Canis lupus familiaris: one gene and its partners. The protein of the gene in region 1 interacts with the protein of each later gene in a pairwise test. Links are inferred from orthologs where the notes say so. Each region holds a gene or a part of one and is shown on either strand. Other genes may lie near its edges.

What was found.
Region 2: the proteins of DISC1 (region 1) and MEMO1 interact in a two-hybrid assay, tested with the Homo sapiens proteins (2 studies listed by BioGRID and IntAct). The link is inferred for Canis lupus familiaris from reciprocal best matches to the Homo sapiens genes DISC1 and MEMO1.
Region 3: the proteins of DISC1 (region 1) and ZNF197 interact in a two-hybrid assay, tested with the Homo sapiens proteins (2 studies listed by BioGRID and IntAct). The link is inferred for Canis lupus familiaris from reciprocal best matches to the Homo sapiens genes DISC1 and ZNF197.
Region 4: the proteins of DISC1 (region 1) and CCDC136 interact in a two-hybrid assay, tested with the Homo sapiens proteins (2 studies listed by BioGRID and IntAct). The link is inferred for Canis lupus familiaris from reciprocal best matches to the Homo sapiens genes DISC1 and CCDC136.
Region 5: the proteins of DISC1 (region 1) and PCNX4 interact in a two-hybrid assay, tested with the Homo sapiens proteins (2 studies listed by BioGRID and IntAct). The link is inferred for Canis lupus familiaris from reciprocal best matches to the Homo sapiens genes DISC1 and PCNX4.
Region 6: the proteins of DISC1 (region 1) and CRNKL1 interact in a two-hybrid assay, tested with the Homo sapiens proteins (2 studies listed by IntAct). The link is inferred for Canis lupus familiaris from reciprocal best matches to the Homo sapiens genes DISC1 and CRNKL1.
Region 7: the proteins of DISC1 (region 1) and EEF2 interact in a two-hybrid assay, tested with the Homo sapiens proteins (2 studies listed by BioGRID and IntAct). The link is inferred for Canis lupus familiaris from reciprocal best matches to the Homo sapiens genes DISC1 and EEF2.

The regions. Positions count from the first base shown.
Region 1 is NC_049225.1:8,197,744-8,201,751, forward strand, and holds part of DISC1 (disrupted in schizophrenia 1 protein), read right to left. Parts: intron 2,522-4,008; coding exon 1,527-2,521; intron 1-1,526. UniProt on the Homo sapiens protein: Involved in the regulation of multiple aspects of embryonic and adult neurogenesis. Required for neural progenitor proliferation in the ventrical/subventrical zone during embryonic brain development and in the adult dentate gyrus of the hippocampus.
Region 2 is NC_049238.1:25,286,202-25,290,209, forward strand, and holds part of MEMO1 (protein MEMO1), read right to left. Parts: intron 3,201-4,008; coding exon 3,058-3,200; intron 1-3,057. UniProt on the Homo sapiens protein: May control cell migration by relaying extracellular chemotactic signals to the microtubule cytoskeleton. Mediator of ERBB2 signaling.
Region 3 is NC_049241.1:87,605-91,612, reverse strand, and holds part of ZNF197 (zinc finger protein 197), read left to right. Parts: intron 1-22; 5' UTR 23-101; coding exon 102-500; intron 501-2,120; coding exon 2,121-2,280; intron 2,281-2,656; coding exon 2,657-2,748; intron 2,749-3,022; coding exon 3,023-3,149; intron 3,150-4,008. UniProt on the Homo sapiens protein: May be involved in transcriptional regulation.
Region 4 is NC_049235.1:7,706,227-7,710,919, forward strand, and holds the start of CCDC136 (coiled-coil domain-containing protein 136), read right to left. Parts: upstream 3,243-4,693; 5' UTR 3,223-3,242; coding exon 3,165-3,222; intron 2,424-3,164; coding exon 2,316-2,423; intron 697-2,315; coding exon 454-696; intron 377-453; coding exon 302-376; intron 1-301. UniProt on the Homo sapiens protein: May play a role in acrosome formation in spermatogenesis and in fertilization.
Region 5 is NC_049229.1:35,527,502-35,531,197, reverse strand, and holds the end of PCNX4 (pecanex-like protein 4), read right to left. Parts: intron 1,673-3,696; coding exon 1,421-1,672; 3' UTR 806-1,420; downstream 1-805.
Region 6 is NC_049245.1:3,678,197-3,682,764, reverse strand, and holds the start of CRNKL1 (crooked neck-like protein 1), read right to left. Parts: upstream 2,972-4,568; 5' UTR 2,968-2,971; coding exon 2,794-2,967; intron 1,197-2,793; coding exon 1,044-1,196; intron 1-1,043. UniProt on the Homo sapiens protein: Involved in pre-mRNA splicing process. As a component of the minor spliceosome, involved in the splicing of U12-type introns in pre-mRNAs.
Region 7 is NC_049241.1:55,976,821-55,980,697, forward strand, and holds part of EEF2 (elongation factor 2), read left to right. Parts: intron 1-204; exon of another isoform or gene 205-269; intron 270-345; coding exon 346-524; intron 525-731; coding exon 732-837; intron 838-1,280; coding exon 1,281-1,394; intron 1,395-1,624; coding exon 1,625-1,763; intron 1,764-1,932; coding exon 1,933-2,128; intron 2,129-2,735; coding exon 2,736-2,994; intron 2,995-3,427; coding exon 3,428-3,535; intron 3,536-3,877. UniProt on the Homo sapiens protein: Catalyzes the GTP-dependent ribosomal translocation step during translation elongation.

The DNA of each region.
Region 1 (4,008 bases):
GCAGGCTGGAGCAGGTTGGGAAAGGTCTCAATTATCAGGATAAGGAACTTGGATACCATCCCGAGAAGAGCAATGAGCCACCAAAGGTTTCAAGCCAAGGAATAACACTATCCCACCAGTGTTCCGGAAGATAACTCTGCTGGCCATCCGGAGAATGAACTGGAAAAGAGACACTGAGAAAGGCAAATATGTCAAGAATCTCTTACAAAACCCACGTTAAAAATAACAAGGACTTGAACCAGGGCAGAGGCTGCGGCTGTGAGAGGGAGGTTAGCTGCAGGACTATGAGGATGAGAGAGGTGTTGAAGATGCTTGCAATTTCTCTAAAAAACTGAACGGATGCTCTTAATTAAAATCAACAAATATATGTACCAAGACTAGGGCCCTTTAGAACAGGTTTGCTGGGGAAGACAATGACATCAATTTTGAACACATCTAACTAGAGGGTTCTGTGCATCACCTGGGAACAGAGCCCTGTCTGCATATCCAGCCTGGCTTCACAATCTCCTTGAGATATAAATCATATGGCTGGGGTCCCCAAGGGCTGGCACAGGGCAAACAGGGACAGGGCCAGGAACATCAGGCCACACATAAAGATTTGAAAGTAAATGAGATGCAATTGCTGGAATGAACATGACCTTCACATTTTCAGGTATTTCCACCAAATGCCTGATGAGTAGCTGTTCTACTTCCTTGTGGATGTGTACAAATGTCAGCACACATACACACACATCATATGCACACAGAAGGAAAATGCAGTCACATAGCCCAATGGGTCAGCCACAAAGCATCTCAGGCTGGGTTTCTCTTCGGATTTTTTGGAGGTAGAACAACCCTGCCTATTCACAGTTGTAACCACCTCTCTGATAACAGGGTGCACAACACACTCATGATGCCAGAGTTTGCATGTATACAGCCCCCCCTAGCTTCCAAAAGCCCTTAGCTTCTCACTGCAGCCACAGAAAATCCCATGCAAGGTTACCATCTTTAAATAAGGAAACTGAGAGCCTGACCAAAGTAATGACCAGGAGCAAAGTCTCCTGGCTGCGTCAGGCAGGGCCCACTGAGCAGGATGAAATGCAAGGGCTGCAGGAAATGCAAATGAAGCTCAGCCTCACCCCCAATATGGTGCGTCAATCTCCATCTTCACACCACTCAACCACAGGCCAGCCAGCCCCAGCTCCCCTGCCTCTGCCCCCAATTCCCTGTTTCAAAGCAGAGCTGGGCAGAGCTAACCACACATCACGTAGGCCAGGAACTGCAGAGGAACCTGCTGCTCAACACAGAGCAAATCTGAGCATTCAAGTGACAGAGAAGACAAGAACAAGAACAGATTTGTGTGCAAACAGAAAGAGAAGAAACAGAACTACGGCAACATCTTTTTGCCGTCAGTTACAAAAGGAGCTGCTGCAGCTCCCAGAGGGAAGTCGGTGGTCAACCCCAGAACTACTCATTTCCTGCCTTCTGCCCAAAGCTGGCCTGAGCTCGTGACACTCGCGGGCCCCCAGAGGCTGGGAGACACCAACCTCCAGCTGCCTCCGGTCGCTCAGCAGGCAGTCCAGCAGCACAGGCTCGCACCTCCTGAGCAGCGTCTCCCAAAGGTGAGCCTCCCCCAGGCTGCTGCCCTCAGACCGCCAGGGGCCTGGGGAGCAGGAGGAGGCAGTGTCCGTGTCCAACAAAGAAAGCATGTCACACTCCGGCCTGTGGCTGCCCCCTGTGGTCTGGGCAGAGTCCGCCAGGCTGGGAATAGTCTTGAGAGTGAAGTGGGGAGAGAAGAGTCGAGGATGTTCGTGGGGCCTGTCCATGCTGGCAGCCTTCACTTCCGCCTCCTTGGGGCTCTGACAAGGGGTCTCAGCCTCTCTGGATGGCAGGCAGCCTTCAGCTTCTCCACGTTCCCCAGCAGAGCCAAGTGAGAGCCGTATGAAGCTAAAGCTTGACGTAAAGGCATCCTGAGAGCCAGCAGGGGTTGGGGGGGCCTTGGGGACACTTCCAAGGCTGTAGCTGCTGCCACTTGCCTCCTCTGGAGACAGACAGCCTTTTGTCCAGGTACCGCCTCCAGCAGCATCCCGGCCAGGACCTGGAGCCTCAGAACTGTCCATGGATGGGAGCTCCCCCTGCCACCCAGTGTCCCCAGGGCCACACGACCTGGCTGGCCTGGCAGGTGGCTTGGTGCCAGCTCTGAGCTGAATCCCAAAGAGCCCCGAGGGCCTTCTCACAGGGGTCAGAGCCAGGCCTAGGTAGCCCCCAGAGGTCGGAGCCGAGGCTGCTGTGCTCCTAGGAACAGGGCTCCCAACCGAGGGGCCTCGCCACTGGCCTCCAGAATCAAGGCCACACCGTCCGGCCCTGGACTCAGACTGGTGGGACTCCTCACCGCACGCCCCTCCCTGGGCCTGGAACGGAGCGGCCACTGCTGGGTAGAGGAACCCGATCCGGGGCCCAGCTGCACTTCTCATGTAGCCCGGCCTCCGTGCCAGCCGCCTCCTCCGAAAAGACGCTGCAGGTGGTATGCAATCCTGGCTGCCTAGGAGGAAAAGAGAAAACAGCACCATCAACACGCAAAGCTCACTGGCTCAGCTGGAACTGCATTTGGAGAGCATCTTAGGTTTAGAGGTCGCCGCTCTGTGTATCTGTCAAAGGGAGATGCTGGCTCAGTGGTCACGGGGCCAACCCGGGACGAAGATTCTGACGATCTTCTCCAAGTGTTTGCCTGGAATGCACAGAAGAAACACAGCGTCTCCGCTCTTCTGTTTAGCAGAGCAGCTGGCGTTGCTGTGAGTTATGCCAGCATGTCAACATGCCCACTGGAGTTACAACCTCGCCGGCTCCTTCTGAACCCTCTGGCATCTTGCCTATTGGGCTCTTAGGCACCGCAGCACTTTTATCCCAGAGTGGGCCTGAAAGCAAACAATTGGGAGGCAAATGCCAGCACACTCCTCAAAACAAGATCCGATCGCTTATTCTAGCTCCTTATTGAACAATATGTGAGTTTTCATTATCTGAGCTCTCCGTGTCCCAGCACGTCTCTGGACCATGGAGAGCCAGCTGGGGCACAATTTATGGCCATCAGTTCATCTCTCACAGTGGACCACGGGAGGCCCTGCTTGATGTGCTCAACAAACCAGGGACTATGTCCCCCTCGAGCTCTGCAAAAGGAATAGAAACAATAAAAAATGCTGATAGCTCTCAGGCAGGATTGTATAGCAGTTGAGAGCAGACTCTGGCACCTCATTGCCTGGCTTAAGCCCTGGCTGTGCCATTGCTGCCTGTTCACCTCCACAAATTACTTAACCTCTCTGTGCCTCAGCTTGCTTCTCAGTAAAATGGAGACATTACCAGTACCTCTCTCGCAGGGTGAGACTTAACTAAATGAGTCACTAGAGGTAGACAGCCTACAACAGGGCCTAGCACACATAAGTGTGCTGAAGATGTTAGTTATTATTTCTCTATTGCACAGCACATTGGTACTCAGAATATGGGCATCATCTACATTAATTTCATTTGCTCCCTACCAAAGTTATGCGAATCAACCAGACTAGGAAGTATAACTTCCTTAAAGGAACTTCCTGTTCCTTCTACAGTTAAGGAAACTGAGGCTCAGAGAAATTGGCATTCAGAAACCCCTGCAAGTGACTGAGTGACCAGCATCACAGTCTCCTGACTCTCCTGACCCACATAGTGTTCTCACCATGGAGCCCCGCCACACCATGAATCAGATGAGATGGAAAGCATACAAGTAAGACCAGGCAGTGCTGAACGTGGCTGTAGGTATACTACAGCCCATGGTGAGGAGTGGAACAAAGTTTCATGCCAGGCCCACACATCCTACCCTGTCTCCAGAACTTGGACAGCCTCCGGATCTTTGTTATGGTAAGTGGAAAGCACTGGGCATTTGGGCTCACCCTGTGTTATGATCATGACACACACCAGTTTTGGAATGGATGTCAATGATAATCCCTGGGGAAATTAGCACAATGACCATGAATTTGAGCAACTAAGGACCAAAGAGCC
Region 2 (4,008 bases), on another chromosome or scaffold:
GAAAATTTGAGAATGTTTTAGTCTTTCTACTTTTTCTCTAATGTCTTTTTCAAGTCCACACAAAATTTAAATGGGATCTGAAAGATGAACATCTTTAAAGCAAAGCATACACACAAAAAAAGTCACTCTTGTAACAGACATTGGCTAACAAGTAAAATCAACCAGGCAAAACCTTTCCAATCACATAATAGGTCTCCCAACTGTCTCTATCACCAAATCTCTTGGTTTATTTTAAACAGAAGCTGTACATAATAGAAACAATGACTAGAAATGAAAAATGCTGTCACTGCCAGTACTCTATTCAACAAAAACAAAATTCCTCTATATGTATCTGAGTAATTTGTCAACTGTACCATAATCAATTAAGCAATTTTTCTTCAAAAATTAGCTATTACAAATGTAATAGTGTGTTTGACAGTATAACTCAATGGAACTTTTAAGATCTCTGAGTATTTAAGGAACTAAATCCTTCCTGTGAAATTATTTAGAATTCAGGGTTAACATTACTTTGATATGGTAAAATCAATCTATACAGTATCTTTACCAAAAAACAAAACAAAACAAACAAAAAAAAAAAAAAACCCACAAAAACAAACAAAAAAACAGAAGAAGAAGAAGAAAAAAACCATTAAGAAATATCCTCACAAGAAAAAGCTAGATTTTTGAAATGGATGTATATCATTCATTAATTTAGAAAAGATGACCAAAGCCACCAGAGCACGTAATTTGAGAAATATGAAAATTTCTAAGACATTTTAACCCATAACTAGCCGAAGATTCGTATTAATTCAACTAGGCATATAAAATAGAAAATGAATCTTACTTTACAAGAATGACAGTTACTATTGTAGAAGGGGAACTACCAATCTTGGAATAGTATCTAATAGTATCTATAAGTACCTTCCACTTATCCCCAGATCTTTATCAAATTTCCTAATAAGAATTAGTACAGTGCTTTCCAAAGTACAAACTAAGCACTTTATGAGTATTGTTAGTGATACTAAAAAATATAAGCACTTGGAAAAGTTCTATTACTTAACGACCAAATGTAAATATAAATATGTTTAATCTCTGGATAATTCTCATAACTAACATCTACCAACCTTTGGAAATTTTGAGTTATCATCTGTAGTTATCACCAGGAAATCCTAGCTTACAAATTTAAACACCAGAATTTTCTAGAACACTGGAGATCAAATGGCCTAAATAATTTTCTAAGAATCTAGGTAGAATATAAAAACTCATCTTTCTCTCTCAATATTATACTTAAATACAGTAGTGGACTAGAGCTTGTTTGCTTTAGAATTCATTAATGAGGTAAAAAGAATGATTTAAGAGAAAAGCATCTACTGATTTTTGTGTGGATTTATACTGTGATTGCACATGATACCAACCAGATTCTAAAGAACAATATCAGGGGAACTAATTCTCTAGATCATAAAAGTAATTTAAAGTGATTCATGGGAGCCTTAAAAGTGAAGAGGGAGGGGACACACACTTCAAGAATTTTTAATTTCTAAGACATGTGGACATGCTTTATTATCAACACAAATTCACAACACTAAGAAAAATATCCTTTTTTCAATAATGATACTCCTTAGTTTTTAAGATCAACTACGACTAAACATCAGAATTTCCAAGCATCTATCTAGTCCTCAGATCTAAGTAATATACTTAAAATCCATAAAAAATAACTTCTGCCAAAGGTAGCAAACCAACTAGCCAATAGAACTGATTATTATAAAGAAACTTGAGAGTCTCTTAGGTAAGGTAGCACAGCCTAAACCAGGACTTCCCAACCTTAGCACTACGTGTTTTGGGCAGGATAATTCTTTGATGAGGAAGGCTGTTCTGTGTACTGAAGGATGTTTATTTGGCAGCTTTTCTGTACTCCACTAAATTGATGCCTAAAGCCTCCCCGCTTCCCACCCCCATCCCAAGGTAATGACCAAAAATGTCTCCAGGCATTTCCAAATGCCCCCTCATAAGACAATCAGCCCCAGATGAGAAATTAGTGCCTTAAACCAAAATACGTATCTATAAGGGAGGATGGCTCTCTTAAAAATGATTTCAAAGCCACTCAGAGAGCAAGGTAAGAGAAAATACCAGCCTAATGAGGCCAGAAAAATAGTGAGCCAGATTTGATAATCAATGCTTAAGACATATAAAAGCCAGGGCTCCCTGTATCTCACAGAGGATGTTTTTCTGGCAATTCAAGTACTCTATCTTAAAATGTACAGACTTGTGCCTTATGTTTTCTCAATAATAAAAGAAATAACTAAAGGATGAACAGATAACTGGCATCCTCAGGCCAATGAGAGAGGTCCTAAAAGGAATAGGAATCAGAAATACTCTATCCAGAACAGCAATGGATAAAGGATAGCAAACTGTATTCAAAGATTCAAAAAATAAAACTTACTGAAAGAGGCATCCACAAATGTCTTTTTATGATTTATTCACTGTGAAGTCTCCTTACTTTTTTTATTCACAATAATAACAAAAATCACATAAGAGTTCTTACTCGTATTAGCCATTACCAGTGAAAACCACAATGCTAACAGCCAACATATTACACTCTTTGGAGGGTACCTCTAAACTGATGGCAAAAATTAAGCACCAAAGGAAAAATAGAAAGAAAAAACACTAATTACAGAAAAAGAAATGTGGAAAAGGACTGGCATAGCACACAGTGCTCTTCTACCTTCTAAAGAAGAACATTGGTTTTATCTACCAAAAACTAACTTCCGAGAATCTACCACACAACTCAACCTGGAAATAGGGGTTAAAAGATCTTAACTCCCACTAATGTAAGTAGCTAAAGCAAGGATGCCCTCACAGTGTGAATCCAATTATACCAGTCGCCTTTGGAAATGTATCCATAATCTACTATAATAATCTGATCCTTTTTAAAAGACTTTTTTATTCACTTTTAAACATTGCAGCTAAAACTTTCCAAGGAAAATGGTAAAGAACTGAAAATCAGAGCTTAGAGTGAAAAGATACCATTAACCACAAGTATATAGTATCTATCATGATATGTTAAAATCTAGAACTTACCCCAATGGCAGAAATCAGAAGAAACCACAAAGAGATTACTAGGATCCGCTAGATATTTACTGAAGAGTTTTCCGAATTCCTGTTCTTTTGACTCACTCAGAGCTCCAACCAGTACAGGAATAATGGTAAACTCATCCTTATGGCTTAAAGAAAACAGAGAAAAAAAAAAAAAAAGTCATTTAAGAAGTATAAGAATAAAAATAGTTTTCCAATGTGTTGGCACTAAAAAGTGGAACATTTATTAATAATGGTAAGGGAAAGATACATACTGTTGAATTTTTTAGTCTATAAATTAAATGTTTAAAGAAGACCATTTAAAAATAAGAGAGATACAGAATATTAAAAATATCTATTCAAATTACAGAAATGTACAATAGTTCTTTAGATAAACAAAGCTAATTTACTACCAGGTATAATAATATCTTCAAAATAAAAATAAGCCCATCAGACCATCACCAAATCAAGTCTTCTCAACTACACATCAAAGCTACAATCATCTGCCCAACCTTTCTGCAATTTTAAAAGAGCATTAAACTCTTCCTTAATATTTTAATCCTATCCTGTTATAAAAACCACCACTTCTGGCACTTTTATAAACCTGCCAAATGGGTCCCAAGTCCCTGCTCCGCTGTGTCGGGCATACTTGGACCTAAGCTCGAGCTTGCTAATAAACCCTCGTGTGTTTGCATCAGAAAAATAAAAAATAAAAAATAAAATAAAATAAAATAAAATAAACCTGCCAAATGAGACCCACAAAACTTAATCTTGGCTCCCGTAAGATACACCAACTGCACCTTGTACCTATACTAATAAACAGATATAAGACAGTTTGAAAATATAACTCAAATTTCACTGGCATCTAGGGTGGATGTAGACTTCAAGGAAGTAGGTATTAATTTCTAGCAGCAAGAAAAAGACACCACACCCACCCACAATGTTTATGACATATCC
Region 3 (4,008 bases), on another chromosome or scaffold:
CTTTATGAATGATTTCTTGAAGTCTTCTAGATAATGTTCTCCAAGCTTTAAGGAAGAAGTCAAGCAAGGATTGAGAGGGCCTGGAGAGAAGTCTTTCTTAAATGACAGCAATGACAAGAGAAAATTGGGCCCACAGTGCTCTGAGACAAGAGGGTCTTGTTAAAGGGAAGGATGATACCTGGAAATGGGGAACCAGCTTCCAAGGAAGCAGCTCCTCTGTTTGGGAGACCTCCCACCTGCACTTTAGACAGTTACGTTATCATGAGACATCTGGACCCCAGGAAGCACTGAGCCGGCTCCGGGAGCTCTGTCGTCGTTGGCTGAGGCCAGAAGCACGTACCAAGGCCCAGATCCTGGAGCTGCTGGTCCTGGAGCAGTTCCTGAGCATCCTTCCTGGGGAGATTCGGACCTGGGTGCAGATCCATCGCCCTGGGAGCTGTGAGGAGGCCGTGGCTTTGGTAGAGGAGCTACAGAAAGACCTTGATGGACCAGCATTAAAAGTGAGAAAGGGGGAGGGGAGAGATTTGGGATGGAAGGAAGGAGAGAATTAAGGCAGGGTGAGCTGGGCTGGAGGCTGATCCTATAATTTTCATAAATAATTAGTAGCACATTAGCAACCCTAATGCTTATTACAGCAGGTTCACGAGCTATTTCAGATCATAGAATATCTGCAGAGAAATGGATTTATGATTGGTGTCTTGTTCCTAATTCAGAATTAGCAAAAAGGCATTGACTGCACTTTGTTCATCTGGTGATGCTTGCTAATGCTGAGTTTGGTTCAGTAACCTAAAGAACAGGGATCCCTGGGTGGCGCAGCGGTTTGGCGCCTGCCTTTGGCCCAGGGCGCGATCCTGGAGACCCGGGATCGAATCCCACATCGGGCTCCCGGTGCATGGAGCCTGCTTCTCCCTCTGCCTGTGTCTCTGCCTCTCTCTCTCTCTCTCTCTCTCTCTGTGACTATCATGAATAAATAATAAAATAAAATCTTTAAAAAAAAAAAAAAAACCTGAAGAACATAATGTTTCTAAGTGTTCCCCTAAAAAAAAAATAAGTGTTCCCCTAAACAGGAGCATATGTATTATTTGTATAAGTCTGTTAGGAGTGACGAGGTAAGCCTTGATTATAAAAGGCAGTGAGAAAACAGGACTAAAGCTCTCTAAATCTGGCAGGACCTCCCCATGTGTGCCCTAGGGCCAAGGGATTGGGTTGAGATACTTAATTTTAGAAAGATTTTATATCCTTGACCATTAAATTGGGATCTTAATATATTTCTCAGTGTGTGTATGAGATCTCTTTCTGTCAGTTTGTAGTCCACTAGAAACGTTATATGTAAGAAGTCTGAAACAAACTTAGGAGAGGCACCAAGGATGAGCTTGTTTATTTTAATCATAAAAATGAATTTTATTTATAAGAGATTTTATTTATTCATGAGATACTCAGAAAGAGAGGCAGAGACACAGGCAGAGGGAGAATCAGGCTTCCTGCAGGAAGCCCGATGTGGAACTCAATCCCAGGACCCCAGGATCATAACCTGAGCTGACAGCAGATGCTCAGCTGCTGAGCCCCCCAGGCATCCTCAAAATGAAGAATTTTAGAGCTATATAGTTCCTCACAAAGCTCTAATCCATCCTTATTTGAGAGATAGATAAATGGAGGCTGGATTGCCTTATGTCCGACATTTAGCTAGTAGCAAACATGTGTCTAGACTCTGGTATTCCTTCTGTTGAAGCAGGAAGGAATAATAAAGGGGTAGATAAGTAGAAGAGTATATTGAACCCAAGTCTGATCTAAAACCAGGTCTGAGGCTAAAATCTATACTCTTAATTATTACTGTAATTTCCCTTTCCCTCCTTAGCCCACACCCAGGTCTGGCTTCTGTTTCCATCATTTTGTTCAGTTTCAGTGGGAAAGGCCACCAGTGCCATGAATGGGCTACAGGGCCAGCTCCGTTGTTGTCAAGGCAAAGCTTTATTGCTGTTTTGATGTTCCATACTTGAGGTGGGTCTCTTATCTCACAGTTCTTGATTGTGGGCAGAAAGAGGTCCATAGTTGTCAGGTGAGTCTATTTTCTGTAAGTACAAGAAGAGTCAGCTTATTTATTTTGTTTTGCTTATTCCCAGGTTCCAGTTCTTGTTCAGGACCGGGACATTCTTCAGGAGGGGATGAGCACTTCAGGAACTGCAGTTCTTCATGTACCCACTGGCAGCCACATAACAACTGAAATTTGCCAAAATCCTTTTACTGACTCACTCGTGTTCAGTCTCCAGGATGCTCAACATGGTACTTAGCGATCCTGGCTTTGGACTTTGTCAGGGTCTTTATTATGGCTCATCCTCCTACTCACAGTTAGTTTCTTCCTCTCTTCCTGTCTTGTATATGAAACCCTTATGGTACCAAATTCTTTCTGTTGTTCCCCTGTCTGTCCTTTCCTGGATTCCTGTGACCTTTTATCCATTCTTACTGCTAATCTTCTATTATTCCAGTACTGTACCTGGGGGTCACTCAGAAAAAGGTTTGTAAGTCATTTTATGGCCACCATTGTCTAGTTCTGGAAGTTCTGGGTCTTTCTGAATTCCCTGTTTGTAGAAGAAACAATACTTGGAGTAGTGGTCAGGAACAGCAGTAATTTCACATGCAGCTTTTTCTCCTTCCTCAGATTCTCCTGCCCCTGAAGCTTCTGCCCTTTCCCAGGAAGAGAACCCAAGAAATCAGTTAATGGCCCTCATGCTCCTAACAGCCCAGCCCCAGGTAAGATTTGCATTCTCTTTCATTCCTAAGGCCCTCCCTGTACTACCAGACTGTGGCTTAGGTATCCTCTGTCATCCTAGTGTTTGGGGCCCAGTTAGTTCCTGTCTCTATCACAGTCCATGCAATTGGAAGGTAGACTTTATGTGGGGTCTCCTTGATAGCCCTTGCTCACTTCATGGCCTCATAATGTGTCCTTTTGCCAGGAATGTGAAAGGAACTTTTTGCTAGGGGAGCTCCTGGACATAGATAATCTCACACATACCTATTATTTCAGGAGTTGGTGATGTTTGAGGAGGTGTCTGTATGCTTCACTTCAGAGGAATGGGAGTGTCTGGGCCCGATTCAGAGGGCCTTGTACTGGGATGTGATGTTGGAGAATTATGGAAATGTGACCTCCCTAGGTAAGGACTCTTTCTTCCCATCAATTCTTACCTTTAATTCATCAGCCTTTGTTTTCTGACTATGAAATTAGTATATACTTGTTTTGGAAAACATAGAATATTAGAAGAAAATATAACTTAAACCCACACAAGTTTTTCCTGTATGAGTTTCTTTTTGTTGGCTACATAATTGTGCCGTAATTCAGCCATTTCCTTATTCTGGATAATTTCTGTAATAATCATCTTTCTCTATACCTAAAAGTCTTTATTTCTCATTATTTTTATTAGAAGCAGAGTTACTAGGCCTAAGTGTTTGAATTGTTTTAAGAAGGTTCTTCTGTCATACTGCCAAATTGCTTTCCTTGGTGATCTCTGTCCTCATGGAGAGGTACATAAGAACACTCCTTTTCTTCTGTCTTTATTGGTACTGTGTAGTCCCATTGTTTTAAATTGCTGCTGATATGATTTTTTTAAGTTGTAATATCTTTATTTTCTGGTAGATTTTTATGACTAGTAATAAAGTCAGAACACTTAAAAATATTTAGTAGCCATTTGTGCTTGCAACAAACATGAAAACATCTCTCATGTGGTGACAGCTGTGGAAATTATGTGAGTCTGCCCCTAAGTAGCTTATCATGGTTTGGTTGATGAGTATAGAAAGAATAAATAAGGCAGAGTAACATAATTAGTATAAGAATGTGATAAACCTTTTGAGATGGAAATGAAGAGGACAAAGCAACCAGTAGCATTCCTGACGTTAGGAAAGGCCATAAAGGAGGTATCTTTGTGTTATTAGACTTTGAAGAAAAAGGTAAGATTTTGTTTGGACAAATATACATTAAAAATTAAGGAATCAACTAATGCACTGATCTGATTTGGA
Region 4 (4,693 bases), on another chromosome or scaffold:
AGGGATATAGGTGTGAAGGGATGAGAGAAAAGGGAGAGTGTTAGCCAGAAAAAGAAGATGTGAAATGGTAGGGCAACAAAGGGCAGCGGAAGGCAGAAGAGCCAGGTAGAGATGCAAAGAAGAACAGAAATTAGGTAAAAAGGAGAATGGGGAGAGAAGGAGGAAAAGGTGAGAATAGTAAGGGGAAAATGAGGAGAAAGTACTGAATTAGTTTATATTTGTCTGCTATGCTACAGTCAAACCCTCAGGACAAAAGTACTTGGATGGCCACGTTCCATCCAGTCCAAGTGCTGGCAATTACCTTGGAGCTGCTGGATTTGCTTGGTGAACACCTCTGCCTGCTGGGCACTGGCCAGCCGTTCATCCTCCAGGAGTCCTGCAGTGAGAGAGGCAGCAGGCATGATCCTGGGATCCGGGGAGCCCAGACCCTCTGGCCCCCTCCCAGGCACTCACCCTGCAGCTCCAGGGAGTCATCCTCATGCTGCCCTGCCAGTTCCCGGGTCTCCTCCAGCTCTGCCACCAGCTGTAGCACCTGAGCCCGCAGCTCTTCCAGCTCTGTCTCTGTGAGGCTCAGACCCCGGTGCTTGCTAACAGACAGGGAGCCCACACTGCCACCTTTCTGCACTTGCTCTTCCTCTTCTTCCACCTCTTCTTCTTCCTCTTCCTCCTCATAGAGAGCTGGGAGTAACACTTCCCCTAGGAGAGAAACCCATCCCACCAGGGGGTCAGAGGCAACTTCTTTTCCAGAGTCCTTCAAGGGCCCTTCTGCTCATTGTCCCAGGGCAGAGATGGTATAATAGTGCCACCTGGTGTCCCCCAAGGAGCCCCCTCGGCAGGACCTGCACTCGGTGATGAGTCCTCAGGTGTAAGGGTCAAGTTTGGAGGTAGCCCATCCCCACCCAGGCCCTTCCTGGACCAGTATTGTACCAGGTGGCCTCTTGCTACTGACTTCGGGCAAACTGAGCAGCTGGGTGCTGGTTAGCTATGTGAGCTTGCACAAGGATACATGCTTCTTGCAGTCCTGGTGGTCTCTGCATAGTGGGACAAGTACTCAAGAAAGGATTCAGATGCTGGCCGTGTCTTTAGGCCAAATGGGACAAGAGTTAAAGTCTGGGGTTTGTCCAAAGTTAAAAAATTATCCAGGTGGCTTGGAAGAAATTAGCTTTTCCAGAATAAGAAAGGGTTGCCTATCGGTAGTTAGAAAAAGAAAACATCTGAATGAAGTGATTTTAAATGTTTTACTGGACCAATACTGAGGCCCTTTCAAATGTATTCTATCACATGGCTGTTCTGAAATTTTCTGCAGAGTCCACTTCCTTTTCTCTGCTGTTAGGAGGCCTCTCCCTTCCTCAAGTGTTATGAGTTCCCTCCTCCTAACTTCCCTCCCCAAACCTGAAGGAAACTTCAGGTTTCAGTTCCAAGGCTGTACTTGTGTGTAAAAAAAAGCCTACCATTTTAATGCATCAGGAAACTGGGGTGCACTGGTCCCCAGCCTCTGGTTGGTGAGTACCCCCTCCTTTGCTGCAATGCAGTTCCTTGAAATAGCGACATTTTGTCAGGATACTGATTATTTGCTTTGTTTTACAATTCTGAATCCCTGGTCTCATGACAGCAGCCTAAGGTCCATCTGGGACCCCTTGTGTCATCTGTCCCCCTTAAAGGAGCAGGGTTGCCCACACAGTGTGCGTGGAGACCTGGGAACACTTCACAGGGAGTCCTGGGAAACGGATCAGCATCCTTCCAGGAGTCTGGTGTTGGCAGCAACTGTCAAGTAACATGGGTGCGGTGGGGATACATGAGTGTTGGGAGGTTGGCCTTCTCACCTGCCCCCTCCCAGGCAATTCTTTCAGGCTGTAAGGGATCCTAAGAGAACCAAAGCCACAAAGGCTTACATTCAAAGTTAGTGGTGGTGGCACCAGAAGGACAATGCTCACTTCACATGCTCACTTCCCTGCTTTTCAAAAATATGAGACAGCTTGGGATCTGGGTCGGGTGGCAGTGAGAACAAACCCCCTGCTGAAAGGCCTGCTTCAAAGCTCTGTCCAACGAGGCCTCTTTCTCTGTCTGGCAGCTCCCCCCGGGACACACAACCTGGTTAGCTGGTGATTAGGGCCCCAAAGGGAGGCACCCAGAACCTCCCTCAAAGCCTGAGCCCTGAGGAGGGGTAGATTTCAGACCTGAAGGGTAGAGGGGGCTCAGGTGAGCTACAGGAAGGGCTCTGTCCTGGCTGGGAGCTCTGGGGACCAGATGGGGTAAGGAGGAAGGAAGGGAAGTTGGCTGAGGGGAGAGAAAGAAAGCTCTTTGGGAAAACTCACCCTCCATAGCTTGCATCCCCCGCCGCTCCAGGGACCCCCAGCGTTGGCCTTTCTTCCTCTCACAACCCTCAGATGCTTCATAGGAGCCTAAAGTGGTCACTGTGGGTCCTGTGGGTAGGAAGAGAGGAGGCACGGTGGGCTACTAAGGGGGCTGGGGGCTGGGGTGCACAGGAGGGAGAGGGGGACGTGCCTTCTAGCCCTCTGGAGCCCCAGAGTTTTTAATCCAGGTGGAAGTGCTCGGCTCACGCGGCCCCGGCTGCGACTTTCCTCCCTCAGCCGCCCCTCGAGCTGGGCCTGCGGGGATCCCGCCCTGCGCTGCCCAACCTCCCCGGCATCCCCAGTTCCAGGCTCCTCTCCCAGCACAGTCTCTTTAGCTGTGAAGGGAGACGGGCGAGAGCCAGGGCAGAGAGGCTGAGAGGGTGAGGTGGTGCAAGGAGGGGAAGGAGGGGATGCGGGGCGGGGGGATGCGTGGGGCAAGGGGTTCCGGGCCGGGGCCGCTCCCCTCCGCTCCGTTCTCTGCCTGGACCCATCCACCCCATCCTCGCCCTGCGCTCCGAGCCTTCGGCCGGAGGGGGCGCAGGGTCTGGGGCCCAGGGCCGGACCGACGGGGTGGAGGGGTGCAGGGCGAGAGACCGCCAGGGGATGATGCGACCGGTGTGGGGAAGACCCAGCCCGGAAAGATGGAGACCGGGCCCGGGGTGAGGGGCAGGATGAGGGAGGAAGACAGGACGGAAAGGTGGGAGCGGCGGAGGGAGAGGGGGGAGAGCGAGGACGTGGGGGTCTGGAGGGAGGAGAGATGGAGAAGAGGAAGGAGTGGCGGCGGAGAGGTGAGGGAGGGGCGGCTCTGACCTGGGCCGGGGCAGCTCCAGCCCGCGGCGCCCGCGCCCGCCCCGGCGCCCGCCTCCATGGCCGCTCGCGCCGCCGCTGCCGTCGCCGCCCGGAGGAGACGCCGCAGCCGCCAGGCCGGGGACCCGGAGCCGGTGCGCAGGGGAGGGAGGGCGGGCCGAGGGGGCGGGGCCTGGCCGGGCCACCTGACGCCACCCCCGCCCGGAAGCCCTCGCTCCACCGCCCTCCGGGACCCGGGCGGCGAGCGGGCGCGGGGGGCGACGGAGCCCGGCCCCAGACTCACCCCAGGGCCGGGGGCCGGGGGCGGGGGCGGGGGCGGGGGCGCCCTCGGAGCGTGAGGCCGTCCCGGAGTGGCCGCGAGGTCGCCTGGTTCCGGCGAAGGGTCCCGCCCGGGCCGGCTGCGCGCGGAGACCCCTCGGGGCCAAGTGTCAGACGAGCCCCGTCCCGCGCGGGGATGGGGCAGGAAGAGCACAAAGCTGGACGCATCCTCCGCTGCTGTTTCCTCCAAACGCGCGGACACACGCCCGCCAAGCGGGGCCCGCGTCCCCCACCTCCGCAGGCAGCGCGGACCCCGGCCGCAGCCCCCACCCCCGCGCGGTGGCCTCTTGCGTCCCGGGACTGACCGCGTCAAGGCAGGAGAAGGGAAGCCAAGGCCGAGATCTGTGACCCGCAGGGCCCTGACCCCCCTGCTTTCCCCGCGCCCCAACCAAGCCAGAGCCCGAACCCCCTCGGGAGGGCGGTGCCTTGGCCCCTCGCAGCCCTCACTGCCTGAAGACCTCTTCCCTCCACCACTCTGCCTTCCCCCCTGGCCCCACACCCAAGGAGCTGCGATGCACGACTTCCACCCACCCTGCCTCTGGAGCCTGTTCCGAGTGGGCACTGCTGATTTTCACTCTCATACAAGGGAGACGTGGAAACCCAGAGGGCTTGTTTCACGTAATCGTTCATTCAGGGCACATCTACCTGGTGCGGGATCAGAGGAGGCAATCGTTCTCAGGTCTCTACAGGTCTCACCCAGGAAAGAAGTGGATACACTTGGGAACCAGGCAGTCCCAATGCATCGAGGAAAGTGTTAGGAGATTCCTGAGCCAGGGACACACACCAATCCCTTTTCTTGGCTATCCACTCACCAGGTTATGGACGTGCATTGTCTGTGTTCACAAGCCCTCTGTATTCTTCAGGAAAGAAGCCTTCCTTTGCCTAGACATACCTACTTATTCTACAACCCTCAGTCAGGAGTCACCTCTAGGCAGCCTCTCCTGATGCCCACCCCTAGACCAGTAGAGGCCTGCTGTGCTCCACACTGTCCTCTTTACTCCTGGGGTAGCACCTGTCACTTTGTCAAGGTCAGGTTTTTACTTTTGTGTCTGCCCAACTTCTGGAAGATTGGGAAGTACTTTAGTCATTTGTGTATGTCTAGCATCTGACAAAGTATCTGACACAATAAATGAGAAAGGTAAATCTTTCAACTACACAATTAATACTCTGTCTTATCATTTAACACATGATTTCACATGGAGTGAAATGTTGCC
Region 5 (3,696 bases), on another chromosome or scaffold:
GCCACCCAGGGATCCCAAAAATTCAACTTATTTAATGGTTATAAGATATTGGGATTGTCTATTTCATCTTTTTAAATTTTGGTTGAGTTTCAGTGGTGTGTGGCCAAAATCAAGAGTCGGATGCTTAACCAACTGAATCACCAGGCACCAGGAAGCAGCCATAGCTTAATATTTTTTATTGGCTACAATGGACATGGAATTTAGAAAATGCTTACTATTTTTTAAAAATTGAAATATCACTGACAGATAACATTAGTTTTAGGTATATATAATGATTGAATATTTGTATATATTATTCTGAAATGATCACCACAGTAAGTCTAGTTAACATCTGTCACCATACAGAGTTATAAATTTTTTTTTTTTGTGATGAGAACTTTTAAGATATACTCTTAGCAACTTTCAGGCGAGTGATATGGCATTATTAACTATAGTATCATGCCTCTCCATGACTTATTTATAACGAAGTTTGTACATTTTGATCTTCACCCATTTCATCCTCCCCTACCCACTTCCTCATGCAACCATCAACCTCTGTACCTATAAGCAGCAAAAGAATGAAAATTCTGTTCGTATTATGAAAATTTTTCTTTCTACCTTTAGATACCTAAGACACTAGTAACCACTAGTCCTAGTGGGTCAAGTAATTCTCCAGAAACAGTATATTTAATTGAGAAGAAATTCTTAAGAAGTCACATCTACAGAATGGTCTCTAGCAGTCACTCATTATGTTGTACCCAAACACTTAATTCTGATGAACAAGGTAAACCCGTTTCCTTTCACATATATCAAAAGGATACTGGGAAAGGAAGGAAAATATTTTATTGGAAGATGTTTTATTAAAAGCTTTTAAGGTTTATGAATTGAAGCATATGAAAAGAAAATGAATAGATCATATGAAGACACTCAGACCATGTTAAACGTTAAAACAGCACAGTTTGAAAATACTATAAAATTTAATATTTCGAATAAATATATACACATTATGCAACTTTCAATAGGACCCATTATCATTACATGAAAACACTGATATGTGTGTATATCTTCTAGTAAAAGTCAACATTGTTGTTGACTTCTGTAAGGCAAGTCACCTATCACATATTTAAGAAAACATTAAGAAACTCATTACATAATCTTATACAAATGTTTCATATTTGCTAAAGTCTACTACAGTTCATAGGGCACAAATATTGGCCAACTAGTTCTAACTTTTATGTTAGACAAAGTTTGTTTGCTTTTTTAATCATTAAGATAGCTAAGAGAATCAACTTTACACAGATTGCTTTTCCCAGGCATCTGACTTGTAGGAGGAAAAAGAGAAGTTCAGTGAAATTATAAGGAATAACATTGTTACTCTTCTAGAATGAAAAAATAAAAACATCTCAATTGAGGATAATACACTTACAAGTCAAAATGGGCTCTAATACAAGTGTATGTGGAGAGGTTTTGAAGAATAAATTGGATATCCCAAGGGAGGATCAGCTGCTTGTACCGTAAGGTTTCTTAAAAGTAGTGGATGAGCTTGTATACTATATCGTTCCTCATCATCGTTTGTGGCATAAAGCAATTCCCATGAAAGATTGGCCCACTGACCTCTAACAGCTTCAGCATTTAACTTCCCAACTTGGACCAACATTTCTTGAAGAGTAAGTACTCTCCCAGTGTAAACTCCCTTTGAAGTATAAAAGGGGGATAAAGAGATTACATTCAAGCCTTTATATTTTATTTATAAACTCAGAGAAAAATTCCATTGTGGTTAGGCAAATTTAAACAGAAAATAGTGTATTAAAATGTACACACAAGTTACTTGTCTTCATAATCAAGAATCACCTCTATTTGGTAGCTCTCTGAATAAGCTTGAAATGACATTCATTCAATAACCCAAACAGCAAAATCTCAGCACTTCTCTTTCCTTTCCTTCTCTATTCCTTCATCCCATCCGGCTTCAACAGAGATAAGTCAGTCATAAATACTAGTCAGTGGATAATTACACAATAGACTCTTTTTAAAAACAGTGTTATTGAGATATAATTCACATTCTATACCATTTACTCATGTAAAGTGTATAACTCAATATTTTTAGTATACTCAAATATATATAAATATCTCTACAATTTAGAACATTTTCATGACCTCAAAAAAGAAACCCTGTACTCTTTAGCAATTACCCTCCTATCCCTTTATTCTCTCAGTCAGAAGCAACCACTAATGTACTTTCCATCTCTATAGTTTTGCCTTTTCATATGAATGGAATAATAAAAAATGTGGTCTTTTGTGACTGGCTTCTTTACCTTAGCATAATGTTTTCAAGCCTCATTCATGCAGCATATATCAGTATTTCATTTCTTTTTATGGTGGACTAATATTCCATTGTATGGATAAAACACAATTTCTTATGGATTCATAGTTGATGGATACTTGGACTTTTTCCACCTTTTGTCAGTTATGAATAATGCTACTATAAACATTGATGTACAAGTTTCTATGTGGAACTATGCTTTCATTCCTCTTGGGTGTATGTGTACTTAGGAACAGAATTATTGAGTTCTATTATTGAGTCATATGGTAACTCTAAGTTTAATCATTTAAGAAACTGCCAAAATGTAAAATGGTTGTATCATTTTACATTTCTGCCAGCACTATATTAGGGTTCTAATTCTCCATATCCTCACCAATACTTATCTGCTTTTTTAATTCCAGCCATCATAGTATGTCCTATATGAAGTGATATATCATTGTGGTTTTGGTTTGCATTTCTCTTATACCAAATGATGTTCAACATCTTTTCATGGGCGTATTTTTGCCCATTTGTAGATCTCCTTTGAATAGATATCTATAGAGATCCTTTGCTCATATTTTAAATAAAAATGCCCTTTTATTATTGAGTTTTAAGAGTTCTTAGAATATTCTAGTAACAAGTTCCTTCTCAGATATATGCAAATATTTTTCCCTTTCTGTGAGTTGTCTTTTCGCTTTCTTGATTGTATTTTTTTTTTAAGATTTTATTTATTTACTTGACAGAGAGAGAGCACAAGCAGGGGGAGTGGCAGGCAGAGGGAGATGGAGAAGCAGGCTCCTCACCAAACAAGAAGCCTGATGTGGGGCTCATTCCCAGGATCCTGAGATCATGACCTGAGCCAAAGGCAGATGCTTACCCTACTGAGCCACCCAGGTGCCTCTGATTGTATCTTTTAAAGCACAAAGGTTTTTTTTACTCTTGATGAAGTCCTATTTATCTATTTTTGTTTTGTTTTCATGCTTTTGGTGTTGTATCTCAGAATCCACGGCCATATTTGAGATATAAAGATCTACTCCTATGTTCTCTTCTAAGATTTTTATAGTGTTAGCTCTTATATTTAGGTCTTTATTTTGAGTTCATTTTTGAATATAGTATGAAGTAAGGGTCTGCAGTTGGCTGAATACTATATCTTAAAGAAGACATATCCCAGTACTAATGATAGCTGTAAATTTTATTTGGGCTATGTCTTTGCTCATGTAATTAAGAATCTTGAGTTAAGATCATTCTGAATTTAGGTCACCTTAAATCCAGTGGTTGATACCCTTAGAAAGGGATGGGAGAACTGACATGGGGTCTATAGAAAAGGCATCCATGTGAAGACAGAAGCAGTGATTAGAGTTATGCTGACACAAGCCAAGGAATGTGAGAGGTCACCAGCAGCTGGAAGAAGCAAGATT
Region 6 (4,568 bases), on another chromosome or scaffold:
CTAACTGACACTTTAATATACTTTATACCTTTTTAAATAAAAACCTGAAAAAAAAATATATACTTTATACTTTTTCCTAGCATGGAAATGTTCTTGACTATTTCTACTAGTCCTCTCAGTAATGTCTCAGAATTTCATACATCACTCTTTGAACATCACTAATAAGTAGATAAAACAGGCTTAGTGGTTTAAAATTATCCTACAGGTGCCTGAGCGGCTCAGGTGGTTAAGCAGCAGACTCTTGAATTTGGCTCAGGTCATGACTTCAGGGTCATAAATACAAGCCCTGTGTGGGTTTCCACACTGAGCCTAGAGCCTGCTTAAGATTCTCTCTCTCCCTCTGCCCCTCCCCCTGCTTACACGCTCTTTGTCTCTTGAAACAAACAAATAAATAAAATCTTTTTTTTTAAAGATTTTATTTATTTATTCATGAGAGAGAGAGAGAGAGAGGGAGAGACAGAGAGGGAGGCAGAGGCACAGACAGAGGGAGAAGGAGGCTCCATGCAGGGAGCCCAATGCGGGACTCAATCCTGGGTCTCCAGGATCATGCCCTGGGCTGAAGGCAGTGCTAAACTGCTGAGCCACCCAGGCTGCCCAATAAAATCTTTAAAGAAAAAAAAAAAAAAAAAATTACCCTAGAGTGAGGATTCTAGGGTGAAGAATCCAAGTCCTCTCTCAGCTCTTTTCCAGGTCTCAATTCTTACCATAAAATGTACAGAGAGAGTACATAATGTGACCTTGGTTAAGACCAGCCCCTTCCAACTGTCAGATGTTCCACTTGTTAAACTTCCATCTTTGATTCTGCACCAAAAATTATGTCTCTGGTGGACTGAATCTCTTTATACTTTAAAAGACAATTCATGGCATATTTTGTAAAGTTCAGCAAAATGCAATTATTTGGTAACCAGGAGTTACATTACTCATGTGGCTAGAAACACTAACCTATTCTTATAGCCTCTCTAACCAATGAGGAATTCTGCAAACTTTGACCTATAAAGTAATAACAATGTTATTAATAGACTGAAAATATCACCCTGACTGACCTTCCTTTTTCTTAGTTTGTAATCATTTAATTCTTCTTCATCTGTGATCTTCTGTTGAGGTGGAGGAGGAAGAAGCTCAAGTTCTCTTTCTTTAGCTTCTCTTAAGAGTTGCTCAGCAGTTATCTGTACCTCAGCTGGGGCTTTGTTTTTCACCTTTTAAGATAGAAGATATTCTCATTTTTAGTAGATGCTCATCACACAAAGTTTAGGAAGCAAAAAGACATTTTTTTAGGATGGGAACTTTGTATTATTACAAGATGCCCTCTTCATATGACAGGTTTTCATTTCTCTATGAAATTAAACAGAAAACAAAGTTTTCTTTCTTATGCATGGTATTTATTACAAAGCCATAGGTAAGTCTTCAGAGAAAAGGTAGCAAAAATAGCAAGTGTTCTCTTTTAGATTAGAATAATAATAAACCTTGAGGCTGCTCAGGTAAATTCTCACTAGAGGTGTTTTATGAAGATGTGTGCTGTATCTTTCCTAGTGTTACACTCTCTATTTACAGAACTTTTCAATTATGCCCCATGTGGATGATAATGCCTCAAACTGTGTTTGGTTGTTTTCATGGCATTTCAAATCAAAGACAGTTCAATAAATTCCCATAATTAGACAGACCATAAGTTTCTTGAAGTCTTAGAGCTGTGCTGTCCAACATAGTAGTCATGAGCTAATGCAGTGAGCCCAAATAGAGATGGACTGTAAGGGTAAAATATACACTAGATTTTGAAGACATAGTGTGAAATAAGCCAGTAAACTGCCTGATTAGATTTCCTATGTTGATTACATGTTCAATTAGCAATATATTGGATACAATGGATTAAAGAAAATATACAGTTAAAATTAATGTCACCTGTTTTGACTATTTAATGTAGCTACAGGAAAACTTAAAATTACATAATGTGGCTCACACTGTATATCTGTTGGACCACTGGTGCCCTGTAACATTTTATGGAATTGGATTATAAGAAATATTGTTTAATGCCATGTGTGGAATGACTTTGATAATAATGACTACAGCTCATATGCAGTCACAGATGCTGTGCTATGTGACTTAAACGGATATGTAAAGGACAAGCTCAAGAGAGCCACCTGGGCTGGAGAGACAGACTGGAGTGAGGGCGTCCGTAAAGGTTCAGGGTAAAGCCCGTCACACATTAAGCACTCAGTGAGTATCAGTCACCGATGGAACTATCATATAATACCAAACTTACTGTTTAATTAAATTAATGCCACTACACAACCCATGCCCTCTCATTCTTTCCAGGCTCAGGGGGCCTAACTCCTAGTCAGCCACCAGGTGTCGGCTTAAACATCACTTCCTCAGGAAAGCGGACTCGGCATACCCCTCATACAAACCCCATCACTCCGCGGCATATCCTACGCCGCCTCACTCGTATTCGGCAAGGTGGCAATTTCACATTGGCTCGTGTCATTTGTGAAAACGGCACATTGCCCGCGTTAGGTCGTAGTTCCTTCCCCAGCGCCTAGCGCGCTGCCTAAATCCTGCCGAATGACCCCACTCCTCCCTCCGCAAAAACACGCCCTAGAAAGAAGGCCGCGCCAACGCGGCGTGGGAAGGGAGCGTCTCCGGGGCGACAAAAGCCTGCGCCCCACCGCCTGCCAACCCTTCCACTCGATCCACACGGGGTAGGATGGCTCTAGGCAGTCTTCCGCCGCGGGCCCCGAGGAGGCTGGGGCAAGCCCCTCTCCGGGGCCTCCTCCCACAAAGCCCTTCGCGGTCTCCTACCTTCGCCACTTTGGGAATCCTCTGCTTCCCGGCAGCGGTGGAGGCCGCCATGGCTGCAGCACAAGACCGCGACTCAACCTGGACCCCAGAAATAGACCCCGAGGGCTGGACAGAATCCCAGGGATTTCCGACAACAAGCGAGATCCCAAAACAGGAAGCGGAAGTTGCTGGCATGACCTTTGACTTCACGCACGCGCCGTGACGCCGGCAACTTCGTTTCTGTGGTAACCGGGCTGAGCGTCCTCCTCGGAGAGCAGTGTCTCGGAGTTGCGGGAGAGGTGGGTAGTGCTGGCTCGCCCGACAGGGGCGCGGGGACGGAGTCCGGGGCGCCAGGGGCGCATCCCCAGGTCAGTCTCCGGAACTGGGAGGACTTGCGAGGATGGGTGGGTCGGTCGAACCGTGGCTCCGGGGAAGGGCAAAAGGAACAAAGCTCCGATCCGGAGGCTTGGGGTCGGGGCAGAGAGGTAGGCCAGAAAACTTCCTTTCCCAGCATGCCAAGGGGCGAGCTGCTGCGTTCCTAGGTGGCCTGGCGCCGCGTTGCGTTCTAGGTTTTGTAGTCTTGGAGGTCTCTTTTTTTTTTTTTTTTTTTTCTGGACAGTTGTGCACAAGTGAAGTAACTGAAGGCATCTTAAAGCCAAATAATAGAAAAAAATGAAAATAAATCATCAAAGTACTAGCAAATAAACCATCCTTGTGGTCAGATAAACAGATGCTTAATTTTTTGTAAATGTGCCTTAATTACATCAATTCTCTTAGCCCCATGGTGCTTAGCTGTGAGACAAAAAGAATAGTATCTATTTTATCATCATTAAGGAGAAAATCTATGTAAAGTGCTCCGTAAATGTTAGCTGGTGTAATTCTTGACCTATCTTCAAAAGAAAAAGCTAATTTTATGCAAGCAAATAGTGAAGAGAATTTTTTTTAAAAAGACTTTTTAAAATAGCAGTTTTAAGTTCACAGAAAAGTTGAATGAAGGTACAGAGAATTTCTGTTTCTCACACCTGCCGTCCCGTTTGCCCCCACAATCGATATTCCCCGTGAGAGTGGTACATTTTTGTAATTGATGAACCTACACTGACAGCTCATTATTCACAAGTTAACATTAGGGTTCACATTCTATGGAATTTAGTGACCTGTATCTACCATCATAGAATGGTAAAGAATAGTTTTTCCATCCTAAAAATCCTTTGTGCTCCATCTATTTATTCCTCCTTCTCCTTTTGCCTCCTATAACCACTGATTTTAAAAAATTTTTAGGGCTGCTTTTTTTCAGAATGTTGTGTCATTTGCATCGGTATGTAGCTTTTTTAGAGTGGTTTCTTTCACTTGTTATATGCATTTGGGCTTCCTCCCTGTCTTCGTGGTGTGATAGCTCACTGGTTAAGAAATTTTTACAATTGCAAGGCTCTTTTGGTATTCAGAAAAAATATTCATAAGTATAAATATATGTGTGTATTTTATGTATTTAAATCTATCTCCGTAAATAGTGCTATTGAGAAAACGTTAACTGAAGTCATTTGTAACCAGTATAAAAATATTTGCCATAGCTCTGTTCTACCTATGTACTTATTTAAATATTTGTAAGTTATCTCACTTTTCAAATTTTAAATAAGTTGAATGAGATTTTATATGACTGAAATAAAGTCGCCTAACAAAATAAACCAATAACTATTAAAATAAAAAAAAAATGTTTCCCTTTTGTGATGTCCCTTAAACTTGTAACTATACTTAACTGATTTAAGTTTAATCTAGCCTCCTTTCAGAAACACACTTAG
Region 7 (3,877 bases), on another chromosome or scaffold:
GGACTATTGATAGCACTTCTGAAAGGTTTGCCAGGACCTGTAGAGTGACAAGGGGCCTGGATCATTTTTGTAGCTATTTCATCTGGCACTTGGGGTGGGGGGGGGAGCTGTGGGGTAGTGGGTTCTGCTTGCTGTCTGTGCTCACCAAGTTTATGCACACCTTTTCCTTGCTCCTCCAGAGGGGATGGCGTAGAGTTGGGCCTTGTAAGTGATGACTAAAATTTCTTCACTTTGACCTGATGGCTGTTGAAGAAAACTGACGTCTGAGGCCCATGGTGCCCAGGGACTCTTGTGCTTTCTGTACAGCTGTTTACTTCCGCTCATAGTGTTCTCTGACCCTCACAGATCGACCCTGTACTTGGGACCGTTGGCTTTGGGTCTGGACTCCACGGTTGGGCCTTTACCTTGAAGCAGTTTGCAGAGATGTATGTGGCCAAATTTGCTGCCAAGGGCGAGGGCCAGCTGGGGCCTGCTGAGCGGGCCAAGAAAGTGGAGGACATGATGAAGAAGCTGTGGGGTGACCGGTGAGTACTGGGGGAGGTGCAGGGCACTCTGGTACCTGTGTGCCGGGGCAGGGACCTGCCTGCAGTGGTGGGAACATGACTAAGGGCCACCAAACGTCTGTAGGGTCCTTCTGCCCAGCTTGGTTTCCTCACTCACTTGGGTCTCCTGTTTCTCCAACCCATCTACCATCGTTGAGTTGGTGAAATACTCCTGTACTCCTCTGCCAGGTATTTTGATCCAGCCAACGGCAAATTCAGCAAGTCAGCCACCAGCCCTGACGGCAAGAAGCTACCGCGGACGTTTTGCCAGCTCATCTTGGACCCTATTTTCAAGGTGAGCTGCTGAGTGTGCTTCATGGATGTGCGTCCCCTGGGCTGTCCTTGGGCCTGGTGGCTCCCGGAGGATCTGTTACCTGACCTAACTGGCTGGGCAGAGCTGGGTTGACAGGTGGGTGCTGGAGGAGGGTGAGGTTTGCCTGGTAGGAAGCAGCTGCACATTTCCAGTAACATTCCTGAACCCATCTTCCTGTTTTTTTTTTTTTTTTTTTTTTTTTTTTTTTTTTTTTTAAATTTTTATTTATTTATGATAGTCACAGAGAGAGAGAGAGAGAGAGAGAGGCAGAGACACAGGCAGAGGGAGAAGCAGGCTCCATGCACCGGGAGCCCGATGTGGGATTCGATCCCGGGTCTCCAGGATCGCGCCCTGGGCCAAAGGCAGGCACCAAACCGCTGCGCCACCCAGGGATCCCCCATCTTCCTGTTTTTGTGACTTGTCAGGTGTTTGATGCGATCATGAATTTCAAGAAAGAGGAGACCGCAAAGCTGATTGAAAAGCTGGACATCAAGCTGGACAGTGAAGACAAAGATAAGGAAGGCAAACCACTTCTGAAGGTGAATGCGGATGTGCCTCTTGGGGTGGGCCTACCAGCTTTGCACTGACTGGAGCTCTTTGTCATATCTTCCAGTCATGTCCCCATCACCAACAGGGTGGTCAGGGGATCTGTGTTGTTGGCACCTCCCCAGGAGGGGCAGCTCAGAATCTAAGTGCCTCTCACCAGGACCTTGGGCATGGCATTCTGAGGGCTTTGGGCCTTGCTTGACCTCCCTGTCTTCTCCTGTAGGCTGTGATGCGCCGCTGGCTACCTGCCGGGGATGCTTTGCTGCAGATGATCACCATCCATCTGCCTTCCCCTGTGACAGCCCAGAAATACCGCTGTGAGCTCTTGTATGAGGGCCCCCCAGACGACGAGGCAGCCATGGGTATGTGAGGATCACCTGCGTCCTGGGGTTAGATTGTTGGGCAGAGGCCTAAGTATTTTTGTGGCTGTGGTCAGGTGGTGATGCTCATTGGCAAGTCCAGGTCACAGGGTTCTGTGAGGGTGAGCTCTGAGGGAATCACATGTTTTGTTTTGGGAATTCCTCTTCACAGGCATTAAAAGCTGTGACCCCAAAGGCCCTCTCATGATGTACATTTCTAAAATGGTGCCAACCTCCGACAAAGGTCGGTTCTACGCCTTTGGTCGTGTATTCTCGGGGCTGGTGTCCACTGGCCTGAAAGTCAGGATCATGGGGCCCAACTACACCCCTGGGAAGAAGGAGGACCTGTACCTGAAGCCCATCCAGAGGTGAGGTGCCCAGCAGCTCCTGGGTACGTCCCAGTCTGGTCCATATCCAAGATTATCTCTTTCCACAGGGAGGGTGACAAGACATAATGTGGTCCAGAGAAGGGTGGAGGACCCTTGAAGCTGAGGGAGGGAGTGATTTGTCTGGGTGAGGCGCACTGCGCTAGTTCTGACTTGGACAGACCTGGCCCTAAGGTCAGGGTGGTGGCACGCATCTGCAGAGCCGTCTCGAGAGGCTAGTGGTAGTCACCATTCCCTGGCTCCTGGTGTGGGTAGTGGGAAGAGTGAACTTCCATCTCTCCAGCTTCTTGCAGCCCTGATTTTCATTGGTTCTCAGGTTCCCGTGACAGTCCTATCAGTGCTAGGTTGGGTGTGGAGCCCTACATAGGGGAGTCGGGGAGGAGCAGGTGGCTTCTGCTTTGGGGTAAGAGAGCTGGGACTTATTGTCACAGGAACTGGGCTGATAAGGTGAAACTAGGGCTAGGGCCTGAGGCTCTGGGAGTTGGGTTCACATCAGCATTTCAGGTGGATGGGATGGCCACAGGCTTTAGAAGGAAGGGGTGTTTTGGGGTCATTTCGGGATCTGGAGGGTTTTTTTTGTCTTCCCTAGAACAATCCTGATGATGGGCCGTTATGTTGAGCCTATTGAAGATGTGCCTTGTGGGAACATTGTGGGTCTAGTGGGAGTGGACCAGTTCCTGGTGAAGACTGGCACCATCACCACCTTTGAGCATGCCCACAACATGAGGGTGATGAAGTTCAGCGTGAGCCCCGTTGTCCGGGTTGCTGTGGAGGCAAAGAATCCAGCTGACCTTCCCAAGCTAGTGGAGGGTCTGAAACGGCTGGCCAAGTCGGACCCCATGGTGCAGGTAGGTGGGTGCCCTGGCAGATGGGAACACCGCGGTGCAAGTGGTTAATTTGTGGCTTACATAGGGCTTGTCACAGATTTACGGATATTCAAATCTTGGAAAGTCTGGTGTGTGCTGAGCATACACTTTCCCTGGCAGAGCTACTGTGTGACAAGGTGGTGGCTTTTTTCTGAGAAATCTAGTTAATTCTTTGTATACCAGTTCTATTTTTATGGTTTGGCTGTGGAGCAGATTGTGAGGTTAACGAGAATAGCAAAAACACAGCTCTTGCTGCCTTTTACGAGCCCTGAGTTGCCACAAAACCCATTTCTGGTGGGTCTGGTCTTCTCTATCTGGAGGGAAACCTGGAGCTTTATACCTGTTCCTAGAATTTATTGGGGTCTCTGAGTGTCTTGGGGTCCGTGCCCAGAGCCTAACTCCTGGCCCATTGCAGTGCATCATTGAGGAGTCCGGGGAGCACATCATCGCGGGGGCTGGGGAGCTGCACCTGGAGATCTGTCTGAAGGACCTGGAGGAGGACCATGCGTGCATTCCCATCAAGGTGAGGCCTGGCTCTGGGCTCAGATGGCTGGAGGCCTGCGTTTTCCAGTACAGAGCAGGACAAGTAGACTGCATAGTCCACGCTTCCTTGATGTGTTTGTCAGAAAAATGTGCTATTATTAGGAAACCGTTTGCATATGTGTTCAGAATGGTTGAGGTTGCAGTGTGAGGGCCCTGCTTTTTTTTTTTTCTTTTTAAGATATTTATTCATGAGAGAGAGGCTGAGACCTAGGCAGAGAAGCAGGCTCCATGCAGGGAGCCTGATGTGGGCTGAAGGCAGTTGCTCAAGCACTGAGCCACTCAGGCATCCTGGGGTGTGTTGTTTTCCATACACTAAAAGCTT